3 linked regions of the Nothobranchius furzeri genome follow. The protein of the gene in region 2 purifies or fractionates together with the protein of the main gene of each other region. This does not show direct contact. Links are inferred from orthologs where the notes say so. Each region holds a gene or a part of one and is shown on either strand. Other genes may lie near its edges. The genes, in order: grb2b, map4k5 and crkl.

Region 1 (3,754 bases), on a different chromosome or scaffold from region 2:
GGTTCCGCTTACGGCAACATCGTACACAAAAAATGCTGAACACTAACTAGAGATTCACGAAATTTTTATAGAAATAAAAGAATCTTGTTTATTGGGTCTTTGGTCATTTAAGACCTTTGGAAACTGGATTTAAGGATTATTTGTAATTTTTAAGGACTTTTAAGGCCTTAAATTAGGAAAAGCTAATTTAAGACTTTCTAAGACTTTTTAAGGACCCGCGGATACCCTGTACGTGTTTCCATGGTCACGTCTGGTTTTACAGTATTATAGTATCAAAGTGTTTTTCTATACAAAGTATTCCCAACGGAGCTGGGCTAGTGCCTCCTCCTACTTTGCGCGCTCCCGTGAATGGGGAAACAATTTTTGACGGGGGTAACTACTTTGGCGCAACACCGGCAGCAACTTCGGGGACAAATTTTCAAGTTTAAAAGTAAGTCAGCTAATTTAAAATGTTTTTTTTTTATATCCAAAGAAGTTATCTATGGTTGGTTAGTTGCTTAGTAGTTGCAGCTTCGGTGGCTAGCGGGTAGTAACTCACTTATATTTTTAATTTAATAAACATATACACAATTTAAAAAGTAAAAGACTCGTTAGATATTTATATTGAAACTAATACGTAGAAAATATAACGTTATCTCCCGTGTCATGTGATGCAAGTCTGTTCCATTTAACCGTTTTCTTTGACCAAGGAAGGACAGTGTCCTCGTAAGCAAGGCGCCTTGACACTGAGAACCACCCTGTATGTCTGCAAAGGGAAAAGGCGATGGCACACACATGTAATGGTTTCTGAGGCCAAAACAGAAATTATAATACAACTCTGGTTAAATGCAAAGCCCTCCGAAAAACAGAAATGAGGGGAAAAAAAAAACCCATCAGCACCACTAACCACTTCTACAGCAAGTTTTTCAAATATTTACATTCACAGGAAAATTGTTTATGATTTCTGCTTCATCAGACTGCGCTTTTAACACTTAGGGGGAACATCTATTCATAGCAGTTAGTTAATATTAATGGAGAACATATGGGTTTGGTCCAAGGGTCAGGCCACAATCTGATAATCCCAACAAACCTTTGAGAACAACAACCAGAGATAAGTGGGTTAACGCAGACAGCTCGAAACCTTTTGCTGCAGGGTTGAACTGATAGTCGCCTTATCCAATTAGCTCGTTTGCTAACAGGTGATGGGGACAGAACTGATGAGCTCACACCCACACAGCTCTACCAAATAAGGCCGTTAAACGTGGACAGCTAGCCAGATGCTGGCAGAGGACTAATAATAATAATCATAACAAACAAGCGTGTTGCAATTCTGCAAGACGCATAAAAATACAAGGCATAAGTTAGTGATGGTAGATAGTTTACTAGTTAGTAATAACGGCATTACGTGGGACACTAACGGTGTTATGAAGGAGGTTTTTTGTCACATAACGAGTTGTTGTATCTGAGGAAGTCGAGCCCTGACTGATAAAAGGCTGCTGAACACAAAGGATCACACAAGCACATTAGCGGTGTCATTAAACATCAGGTCATGAAAATGGATGATGAGACGGAGGTGCGACAGAAAAACAGCTGCCAGTTGCCCAAATGTCTCACCTTCGCGTCGTTTCCCAACTTTAAACACAAAACCCAAGCCCGCACGTCGCGTTAGTGGCGATGCCGCCACCAGAACCCGTCTAAAACCGCTTCCCGTGTAAAGGGATCGAATCGGTTCCAGAGAGTAGACTGCGCCCACTGTTCTAGAACGTTAGCACCCCGGCTAACGTTCGGTCAACAATAACTGCGATGCAGTGTGATGATCAAACTTATCGAACGGACTACATTAGATAGAACAGCAGAAGGCGACGTTTAGAGGGGGTTGTAAAAGATTAGTGATGATTAAAGCCCGATAGAAAGCCTCATGATGGGAAACGGGAAAAAGGAAGAAAACACCTTTTTTCTTAGCGCAAGCTGTTGTTGCTAGCTTACAGCTGCTATCGTGAACTTGACTCTGTGAGAAAACACTTTATTGTACACCACATTTATGCGAAACGGTAACGGCGTCTTACCGCTTGCGACGATCGGTTGGGAAGAATCCACCGTAGGGAACAAAACGTTACCGTGTTGTTTAGCTCTCCCTGCTCCCCATAAGAGACAACCAACAGTGTGTAGCGTCGCTCACAGCCCGTCCTAGGAGCCCGAAGCTAGCTGGTAGCAGAGCGTTTATTTCCGCTTCCTTCTGCCGAGCTGGTGCTCTTCAGACCCGAGCTCCTCCCAACAGTCCATGTCAACCCAGCCACCTCTGTTACCGTTTCATCCACAGCCAGGACACTTTTAAACAGACTGGAAAAACGTTGATATGTGATTATAGGGACTTTATCTGGTGACCCGAATCAGTTCAGACTGAAACTTATGGTGTTAAAAGTGAAATTTGTCCAAAACCTAAAAATAAAGTACCTCTCTGCCAGATTAAAAAAACTGCAGTAAGGGATTAGGCAAACAGACGATAATGTTTGATACGCCAGTCTACAACCAACTGAGTGGTTCACTATTTAGCACATCTGCTTTCAATTTTTGTTTTACGGGAGAGATCAAATGCTTTTAAAAGGCTGCCCCCTAGTGGGAAGATACCATCATGACAACAGCACTGGATTGAGCACAGCTGCCTGCTGTCTGTCGCTGGTGTAGCATCGGGCCGCCATATTGGATGGGTCTCCATTCGCCCCGCTACATTAATTTCTACTGAGGAAGATACTTACTCTCAACAAACAAACAAAAAAACCCCACATTTTATCAAGTTTTGTTTCCACAAAATCAGACATATGGTAAGGCATGACCATTAAAACATAAATATAATTAAACAAAAAAAATTACTATATAAAATACCATCAGGTAGGCTAGAAAAGTCAATAGTAACCACATGATCTGTTTACAATTGTCGCTGGTTGTTGCAAATGAAGGCCGCACAAAACCAGGCATAGTTGCCCACTCTGCATTGACTTCAGTTGGGTTTGGAGAGCGAGGAACCTTTCCAATATGGCAACAATGTTTTTACGCCCTCCAGCACCCAATGGGGCGTCTTTTTCAAACTTCTAGAATAAGGCTCTCACACTTTCATGTTTTTATGTTAGTTACAAACGTTAGTGTTTGTTATTATATTTCTGTGGTAAAAGATGATTCAACACGTTTAGATACTGATAGGACGTTTGCCCTGTTTGTTGTATAAAAAATGTGTTCAGTAAAAAAAACCAATGTGGCATCTACAGATTCATGTCTATGGGATTGAAGGTCTAGTGGAAGAGCAACCACCCATGTGGTAGGAAGTGTGAAATGAAAATTCATGTAAAATATTGGAACAAAACATTTAATTGCAATTTAAAGAGATGTTTCTGTCTTTATTAGTCCTCATTTTATTTTTTTTCATATTGTTTTTACGTTGTTCATTCATCATGTGTAGGGCGAAAACTGAGGCAGAGAAAACTGGATCAATGATGAGTAAATAAAATCACATGAGGGGGAAAATCTGATAGAGAAGAAAATAAATCTCCAAATTATAAAAATAGACAATGAACACATTTGTTTTAATTAAATCAAGATCACCATTTAAAACTACAGAAATATTTAAAAAATAAAGTGGGAGATAATAATGTAAGTATAAACATAAACAAACAAAAAAAGGATATACAACTGAAAATGAAAAATAATCATTAAAATGACCCATGGATAAATTACTGCTGGTGAAAATAAACTGAGCTGTGCACTTGTCACTGCGTCTCTT
Region 2 (3,754 bases):
GGTGTTGCGCTTTATTTGTTTTACAATTTTTTTGTATGTTTTAATATATTATCCACATTTTTACTGTTTTCAATGATGTCGGTATGTTTTTATCTGTGTGTGAAGCACTTTGGTCGACAGTGTTGTGTATAAAGTGCTATAAAAAATAAACGTGGATTGAATTGAGAATTCTTTAGTGTGAAAACCTTTAACCACAACTGTTTCTAATTGATACAACAACTAAAACCCAGCTCCATGTACCCTTACTCCTCTTCTGTGCCTTCTGGAATAACTATGACAAGGAGACCATGTATTATAAACTACAAATGAAACTAAAACTAACTGTATTTTAATATTGTGGTGTTTCACAAACTTAAACCCACATCCATGTACTCCTATTCCTCCCTTTTCATCTCTGGACTAACTGTGGGTGGGTCCTGAAGCAAACGTCTTTGCTGTGAATTAAATTTACTGTGCATCATCATCCTTTCTGCCCTCGTTTGTCAAACTGTTGATTTTTCCTACTCGAAAGTCAGAATTTTAGATATCCGAGGAGGAAGCGAATGCATCATTAGCTAATAGCAATGGAAGTATCAAGCCAACATTATCTTAAACAGTTTATTTACCTGCTGGAGCAGATTAGGGTGATGATAACTCACTTTGAACGTTGCCAATGTTGTCATCATCCATCCCATTTAGTGAAGTGGACCCAAACTTTAGAGTGTGTTCTTTCTACCACTCTGCTTTCTCTATTTACAGCTGGCATGCAGCAATGGACAACATAATGCTCTTGCACGTGCGCTGCGATCTATCTTGGGAAACCAGGGACTGAACTCTATGGTACCAAAACAAGGCACCATCTCACTGTGGTCGGTACCACAGAATTCGGTCTGTGTCTTAAACAGTACCAAATACAATAACCATCCCTAGACACATTTCATGTTAAAAATGTATAACTTTGGTCAAAGAAATTAGAAAACAAATATATATTAACCATGCATTCCCAAGAGAAGTTATTGCCATTCTGACAGATTGAAATAATTCATCTGAGAGCTTCAAGTATAAAATGAAAATTACAATAAAAATATTCAGATGTAACGATTTGTAGGTTGTTACTTTAATTTTTTTTTAAAACACCTACAAATCGTTACACAGGTTACATGCCAGCTACATGATAGTCCCACATGTTAAATTAGGCTGTGAAAAAAATAGAAGAAACAAAAACATAAAGCATCTCAATAATAGAACACATCAAGTTTAGGCACGTTTGTGCTACTTTGAATAGGAGATATTTAAGAGAAACATCTTGCTTTGTTATGAAAAATTGTTCATCGTGCTTTTGTTTCCTTATGTTTGTATTTCTGCAACACTGCTGTGCAAAATGCTCCTGCCAGCTTCAAATCACCTAAATTTCCTCATGTCCTAATGCTCCTATTCCAAATCTACTGGCTCCCCATCTGCTCTATAGTACATTATGACGACATTACTTCTCACTTAAAGGGCACTGAATGGTAAAAATCTCAGAAATGTTGTGAATGTATTCCATATTTGGTTCTTTTTTAAAACACAGAAAAGGTTCTTTTACCTTGCTGACAGTTTCGTTTGCCGTCAGCAAGGTAAAAGAACCTTTTCTGTGTTTTAAAAAAGAACCAAAAATGGAATTAGAAACTAGACACAGCAAGAACATACCAAAGATGTTGTCTATGTATGTTCCTAACAGATTCTTGAGGTCATGTGACAAAGGCCAGCTGGTTGTGCCACATCCAAGGCAGAAAACTAAAAGGTTAAAGACTGGGGTGTAAGAAAATATCAAAATGTCAATATAGCATAATGTGCGTGTGTGTGTATATAAAGTTTTACTTACTCACTTAAAATATTTAAATATCTGAGTCCCGTTCCATCCAATTATATCATTTAAAAACATCTGCAGCTAAAGTGTTTGTGCTACTCATAAACCTGCAAAACAAACCGAGTTTATGAGCTGATTAGTCATCTTATCTCCAGCTTCTGTGGCAGACTCTGGGAACCAATGACTCCATCATACCTTGTAAACGTCTCCATAGGTCCCACTTCCCACCCTTTGAATGAGCTCAAAGTCATGCTGGGGGTTCTTCCTCTGAATTTCACCACTCGGTCGGGGAAAGATATCCATGACAGCTTGAATCAAATGGGTCCTTTACATTTAGTTGGCTTGACTCGTGGTTGCCGAAATACTGGTCTTCAATATGAGCCGATTAATACAACTCATAAAGTCTCTGTCGTTGCTCCATGTCCTGAGTCAGATTTTTGGAGAAAGCATAAAGAAAACATTTAAAATACTAGATTAATGGTTATCTTTAAAAGTAACAAACAAGAGTCCAGGTAAAAGCTTTTAAAGTGATATTTTTCACCAACTGTTTAATGTGTAACAATGTGAATTATAATGTTTAATCACAAAGTGTTTCCCTTATAGGCAGCAAATGCACCTTTATTTACAGAGGAGCACCGTGGCTATTCCAGCAAATAGCCAGAGCCAGTCGGAGGGTTAGTCGGCTAACATACTAGCTAACAATTTAGCTCCACGTTTGGTTCAAACTAAGAACTGTACTTACCGTTTAAAGCACAAAACCAGCAGGCACACAAACGCTGCATTTTTATCGTCTCGAAACCTTTAACTGTGCGATGGCGTCGAACAAAAGAACGAAACGGCCAGCAGTGCTCCTTTGTTATCGAGGAAACAGTAGTAAACTTCACTCCGCACCGACTACATAGTACACTTCAATCTCCGAAAATATCCTAACATTAAGTTTTCACCTTCTTATGTCATTAGCCTCTATTGGCAGTTTTAGAGAAGCGATAGGCTCAAACGTAGGATTTTAACGGAAAACTGTCTGTCTGAATAAGATATTTTAACGGAATAAATAAAAAAAAAGACTCCCGTGAAAGCAACAGTGTGCTGCTAATCTTTGTAGACCAGAGTTGCTGGATTCTAATATGCTGCATTCAGGGTACCTCGAAATATCTGCCAGCCCGTCTTTCACAACACGAAAACAAAACACACTGGCAAAAATAATCAAGTTTTCACTAGTTTGTCACTTGTTGCACATTGCAAAAACCATGCCAGTTATATTTTTTACATTAACATTCAAATTAAATCAACATAATGTTACAGTGTTTGAGACAAAAGTAAAGGTCAGCCTTTGCATATTTCCAAACAAATTCTTCAAAAAGTGCAAGATGTTTCCACGAGTGACACTAATAATAAAAGTTGATTGTGTCACTACATTTCAGTTCTAGAATTAGCTAAAATGTCTTCACAATAATTTATTTACTTTGTTTATGAAACGAGGTGGCTGGCATACAGAGTGATTTGGAATAGAATAGAATAGAATTTATTGATCCCACAGTGGAGAATTCACTCATTACTGCAGCACATACACTTAGAGAAAATGAAGAAAAAAATAAGATTAAAACTAAACACACAAAGACATGCTATTATTGCAACCTTCAACTTGCACAAAAAACAACAAATAAAAGGAAATTTGGGTTTCCAAGACTATGCAGGGACAGAGACATACTAATGTACATCCGGTATTGCACAAGTATTGAATACGTACTCAATTTTGCATTGCATTAATGTTATTGTGTACCAGGATAATACAGTTCAACTGTGGAGATATACACTATTACTGCAGTGGGAATGAATGACCTACAGTAGCGTTCTGTTTTACATCTTGGTCTCAATCTGCCACAAGACACTGAGCTGTCCATGGCCTCCACAGTGATATCAAGTTGA
Region 3 (3,739 bases), on a different chromosome or scaffold from region 2:
TAAAAATGTAATTGTGATATTAGCATTAGCATTTCAATTGGTTTTTCCACGTATATCAGCATTGCGCTAACCACTCGCTGCCAAATTGCAGTCTGCGATTAGAAAATCTCCTTTTGTCTCATCGCAATTTAATTGCGCATGCAGTTAATTGTTCAGCCCTAATATACATGCAGCTCTATGCTAAAAGTGTATTTTCAAAGAGGTAATGATGGATTTCTTTGTAAAAGTTGTCCATCTTTCCAACAGAAAGATTTGCCTGGACCAATAACGTAACGTGATTACATAATTCCGTAAGGTTCATGTTCAGCCAATCAACTACTTTGACGTGATCGGCAGTCGACGGACCCCGAGCCGATCTTGCACCCGAGCAGATCTTTTACCGACACCGGCCACACCGCCACAGCTGGAAAAATAGGGGAAACACTGCCATTTTTATGGTTACATGTTATGAAGCCACCAATATTTTTCAACGACTGCATCATTTTATGCATTTTCAAAAATGTTTTGATAGATATTTCCAGAGATTAATGATTAAAAACTACACATTGTCTTACTTGTTTTTTTTTGGGCATTTCTTTTACTGGAACAGTGGTTGAAATTTCAATGATGACTCTATAAAGGGTTAAATCTCTTAAAATCAGATTTTTACATTGTAAATTTCAGAAAAGTCACGTGTTTTAGTTTTAAGACCAATCTTTTATTCTGTGTTCAGTGTTTTTTTGAGTGGCCGCGAGATCCTGACGTGGGGGTGGGGACCGCTTCGTGTGTTCGTCACCAGCCCCCCCTTCCTCCGCCCCTTCCCCTTCTCTGGTAGTCGGTGACGTGCAGCTAGAAAGCGGGACCTGCCCTCCCGTCGCCATTTTTTTGGGTCTAAAGCTCGCACTTTGGTTGGCTTGAGAAAGAGGAGGACTTGCTTGGGAAAAGAAAGGAAAGTACAAAACGTAGACTGTCCGAGTCTGGATACTTCGTGAGCCGTCAGGAATGCACGCGGGAGCTCCGGAGTGCGAGTCCAAGTCCTGGGATGCTCACGCGGCAGACACACCGCTGCATTGAATTTGTTTCTCGGGTGAAGACGTGTTGCGGGGCCGCCATTTTTCTTGCTGTGTTGCCTCAAAACTCTGCTTCGACTCAGAGAAGGAACTCGGAAAGCTCTTTATTTGACGCGTGCCTCGCCGTGAAAGGGATTTGAGTTATTTACTTGTTACCTACCAGCGGCTGCTGTCAACCTTTTGCTGACATGGGGATTCATCGGATGAAAAACTGAGGCCACCTTTTCCGTTCTCATAACTGACACTGTCTGAAAGAGATACACAATTTGTAGAAAAGCTTGGTGTTTTCTCGGAAGGCGGAACGAAAAGAAGGAAGCCTCTTTGATCGTTTGCAGCTTGGGTCTCCGACGGTGTTTGTTTTCTGTCAGTTAATCATTCTCTTCGTTTTGGCTCCTTCAACAATTCTTCAGCTTCGGACTGCTGAGCCAGAGGAAGCGCATTATGCTCCAAAGTTGGATCAAGTCACTCGCTCCCTATTCCTGAAAACTTCAGATTTATTTTGATTTTTCTTATTTATTCAGGTCGACAGAGCCTGCAGCGTTTGTGCAGAAATTACTGGAAACCGTTCCAGGGTGGCGCATGCCCTGCCCTGCATCTTCCAAAACCAACGGTTTGCTGTGAGAGTACGATTGCTTGAACTCCCACTTTCACGTGTTTTTTTTTAAATTTCTATTAACTTATATTTGAACAGAAATGTCAACTGCTCGGTTTGAGTCATCCGACCGCTCGGCCTGGTATTTTGGACCCGTGTCACGACAGGAAGCACAGAACAGGTTACAGGGACAGAGGCATGGCATGTTTCTAGTTCGAGATTCCTCCACCTGCCCAGGCGACTATGTGCTGTCAGTGTCGGAGAACTCCAAGGTTTCTCACTATATAATCAATTCTTTGCCCAGCAAGAGGTTTAAGATAGGCGACCAAGAGTTTGAACACCTCCCAGCTCTCCTGGAGTTCTACAAAATCCACTACCTGGACACGACTACGCTAATAGAACCTGCTCCCAGGTAAAAATCCCTCCTGTGACCACGAACTACTCTCTTAGATATTTTATTATAACCGGTTGTAGCATAGTTTGCACAGTTCGAGTTTTGCACATCTGGTTTACACATTTAAAGCCTGTGGAGACGTGGTTAATAAACAAGATGTGGATACTGGGTTTGGCTTATTTGGATGTATACTAATGCCTTTACTTAATTTTCCCCTTTAAATTGTTGTTTTTTGTAGTTGTCATGTATTTTAAACTATTGTGATTAAACCACGTCTGTGGAAAGCACACATAGATCCCAGTTAAACAATTATACACTAGTTTTTAGGTTTATTTCCTAAGTTTTAAGGGTACATAATGCCCATAATTTAGTTTTTTTGTTTGTTTCAGTTTTGCTTTGACAACAGAGTTGCATCAGTAAAGTGATTGATGTTTCTCTTCCCAAGGTATCAAAGTACCATCAGCAGTCCCATTCAGCCTATGATTGGCTTAGAGGAGAACCTGGAGTATGTGCGGACACTATACGACTTCACTGGGAGCGACGCGGAGGACCTTCCATTCAAAAAGGGTGAGCTCCTCATCATCCTGGAGAAGCCTGAGGAACAGTGGTGGAGTGCCAAAAATAGAGACGGACGTGTCGGTATGATCCCTGTGCCCTACGTTGAGAAATTGGTACGACCACCCCACCCTGGCCAGCCCACACACGGATCTCGCAACTCCAACAGTTACGGGATACCTGAGCCCTCTCACACCCTTGTTAACGCCTACGCCCAACCTCAGACGTCATCCCCGCTGCCTCCCGGCACACCCGGAGCAGTCATCAATCCACTTCCCTCCATGCCGAATGGTCCTGTTGTGGCAAAGGCTATCCAGAAACGAGTGCCATGTGCCTATGACAAAACAGCTCTTGCTCTAGAGGTATTGTAGAACTTTTATTTTTTTATTCGGTCAATGTTAAAGTTTGCACCAGATGTGAAATGTGTTGGACCAGCTTTTCCTTTCCTCTTTTCAGTTTAGTCCTTTACCAATTCTATTCTGGTGGACATTTTAATATATTATGTATTTAACGAACAATTACCATAAAAATTTGCACATGGAAGAACAAAATATTACTATGTATACAAGATAAGCTGTGTTAAAATTGTATTAGAAACATCTCGGAGCAGAATTTCTAAAAATGATTCAGTTTTAGTTACTTGGACAGCTTACCAACACGCACAAAATTGTAAAATCAATAACGTACAAAATGGAATGTGTTAAAGTCACCAGTAAAGTTCCCTTAAACAGAACGGAGTTGGACACCAGTACTGAAACTACACGGCTGCTTCATCAGGGTGTGAAACAGTCCCAGAATAACTCAAATCACTCTTCCAGTTCTTTGGTGTTCGTTATGCTTACATTTTAATGTGCTTTTATGCAAATATTAACCTTTTCCAAGTAGGAGTGGCTTTAACCTGTTTTTGACTACTTTTATGATAAATGATCCACACTTGTAAAGCGCTTTTCTGAGTCAGTGGACTCCAAAGTGCTTTCCACTATAGTGAATCATTCATCCATACACACACATTCACGCCCTGTTGGTGATGAGCTACAATGTCGCCACAGCTGCTTGAAAGTCACTGACAAAGGCGAAGCTGCCATACACAGGTGCCACAGGCCCCTCTGACCACCACCAGCAGCAGCATCAAGCTTGGAGGGTGAAGTG

What was found.
Region 1: the proteins of map4k5 (region 2) and grb2b purify together in Homo sapiens (affinity purification with mass spectrometry; 7 studies listed by BioGRID and IntAct, counting the BioPlex papers as one, with this or other methods). This does not show direct contact. The link is inferred for Nothobranchius furzeri from reciprocal best matches to the Homo sapiens genes MAP4K5 and GRB2.
Region 3: the proteins of map4k5 (region 2) and crkl purify together in Homo sapiens (affinity purification with western blotting; 3 studies listed by BioGRID and IntAct, with this or other methods). This does not show direct contact. The link is inferred for Nothobranchius furzeri from reciprocal best matches to the Homo sapiens genes MAP4K5 and CRKL.

Annotation. Positions count from the first base shown.
Region 1 is NC_091752.1:67,730,747-67,734,500, forward strand, and holds the start of grb2b (growth factor receptor-bound protein 2b), read right to left. Parts: upstream 2,184-3,754; 5' UTR 2,046-2,183; intron 1-2,045. UniProt on the Homo sapiens protein: Non-enzymatic adapter protein that plays a pivotal role in precisely regulated signaling cascades from cell surface receptors to cellular responses, including signaling transduction and gene expression.
Region 2 is NC_091758.1:19,751,706-19,755,459, forward strand, and holds the start of map4k5 (mitogen-activated protein kinase kinase kinase kinase 5), read right to left. Parts: upstream 2,906-3,754; 5' UTR 2,773-2,905; exon of another isoform or gene 2,571-2,772; intron 2,253-2,570; 5' UTR 2,132-2,252; coding exon 2,024-2,131; intron 1-2,023. UniProt on the Homo sapiens protein: May play a role in the response to environmental stress. Appears to act upstream of the JUN N-terminal pathway.
Region 3 is NC_091746.1:46,874,931-46,878,669, reverse strand, and holds the start of crkl (crk-like protein), read left to right. Parts: upstream 1-792; 5' UTR 793-1,742; coding exon 1,743-2,053; intron 2,054-2,480; coding exon 2,481-2,952; intron 2,953-3,739. UniProt on the Homo sapiens protein: May mediate the transduction of intracellular signals.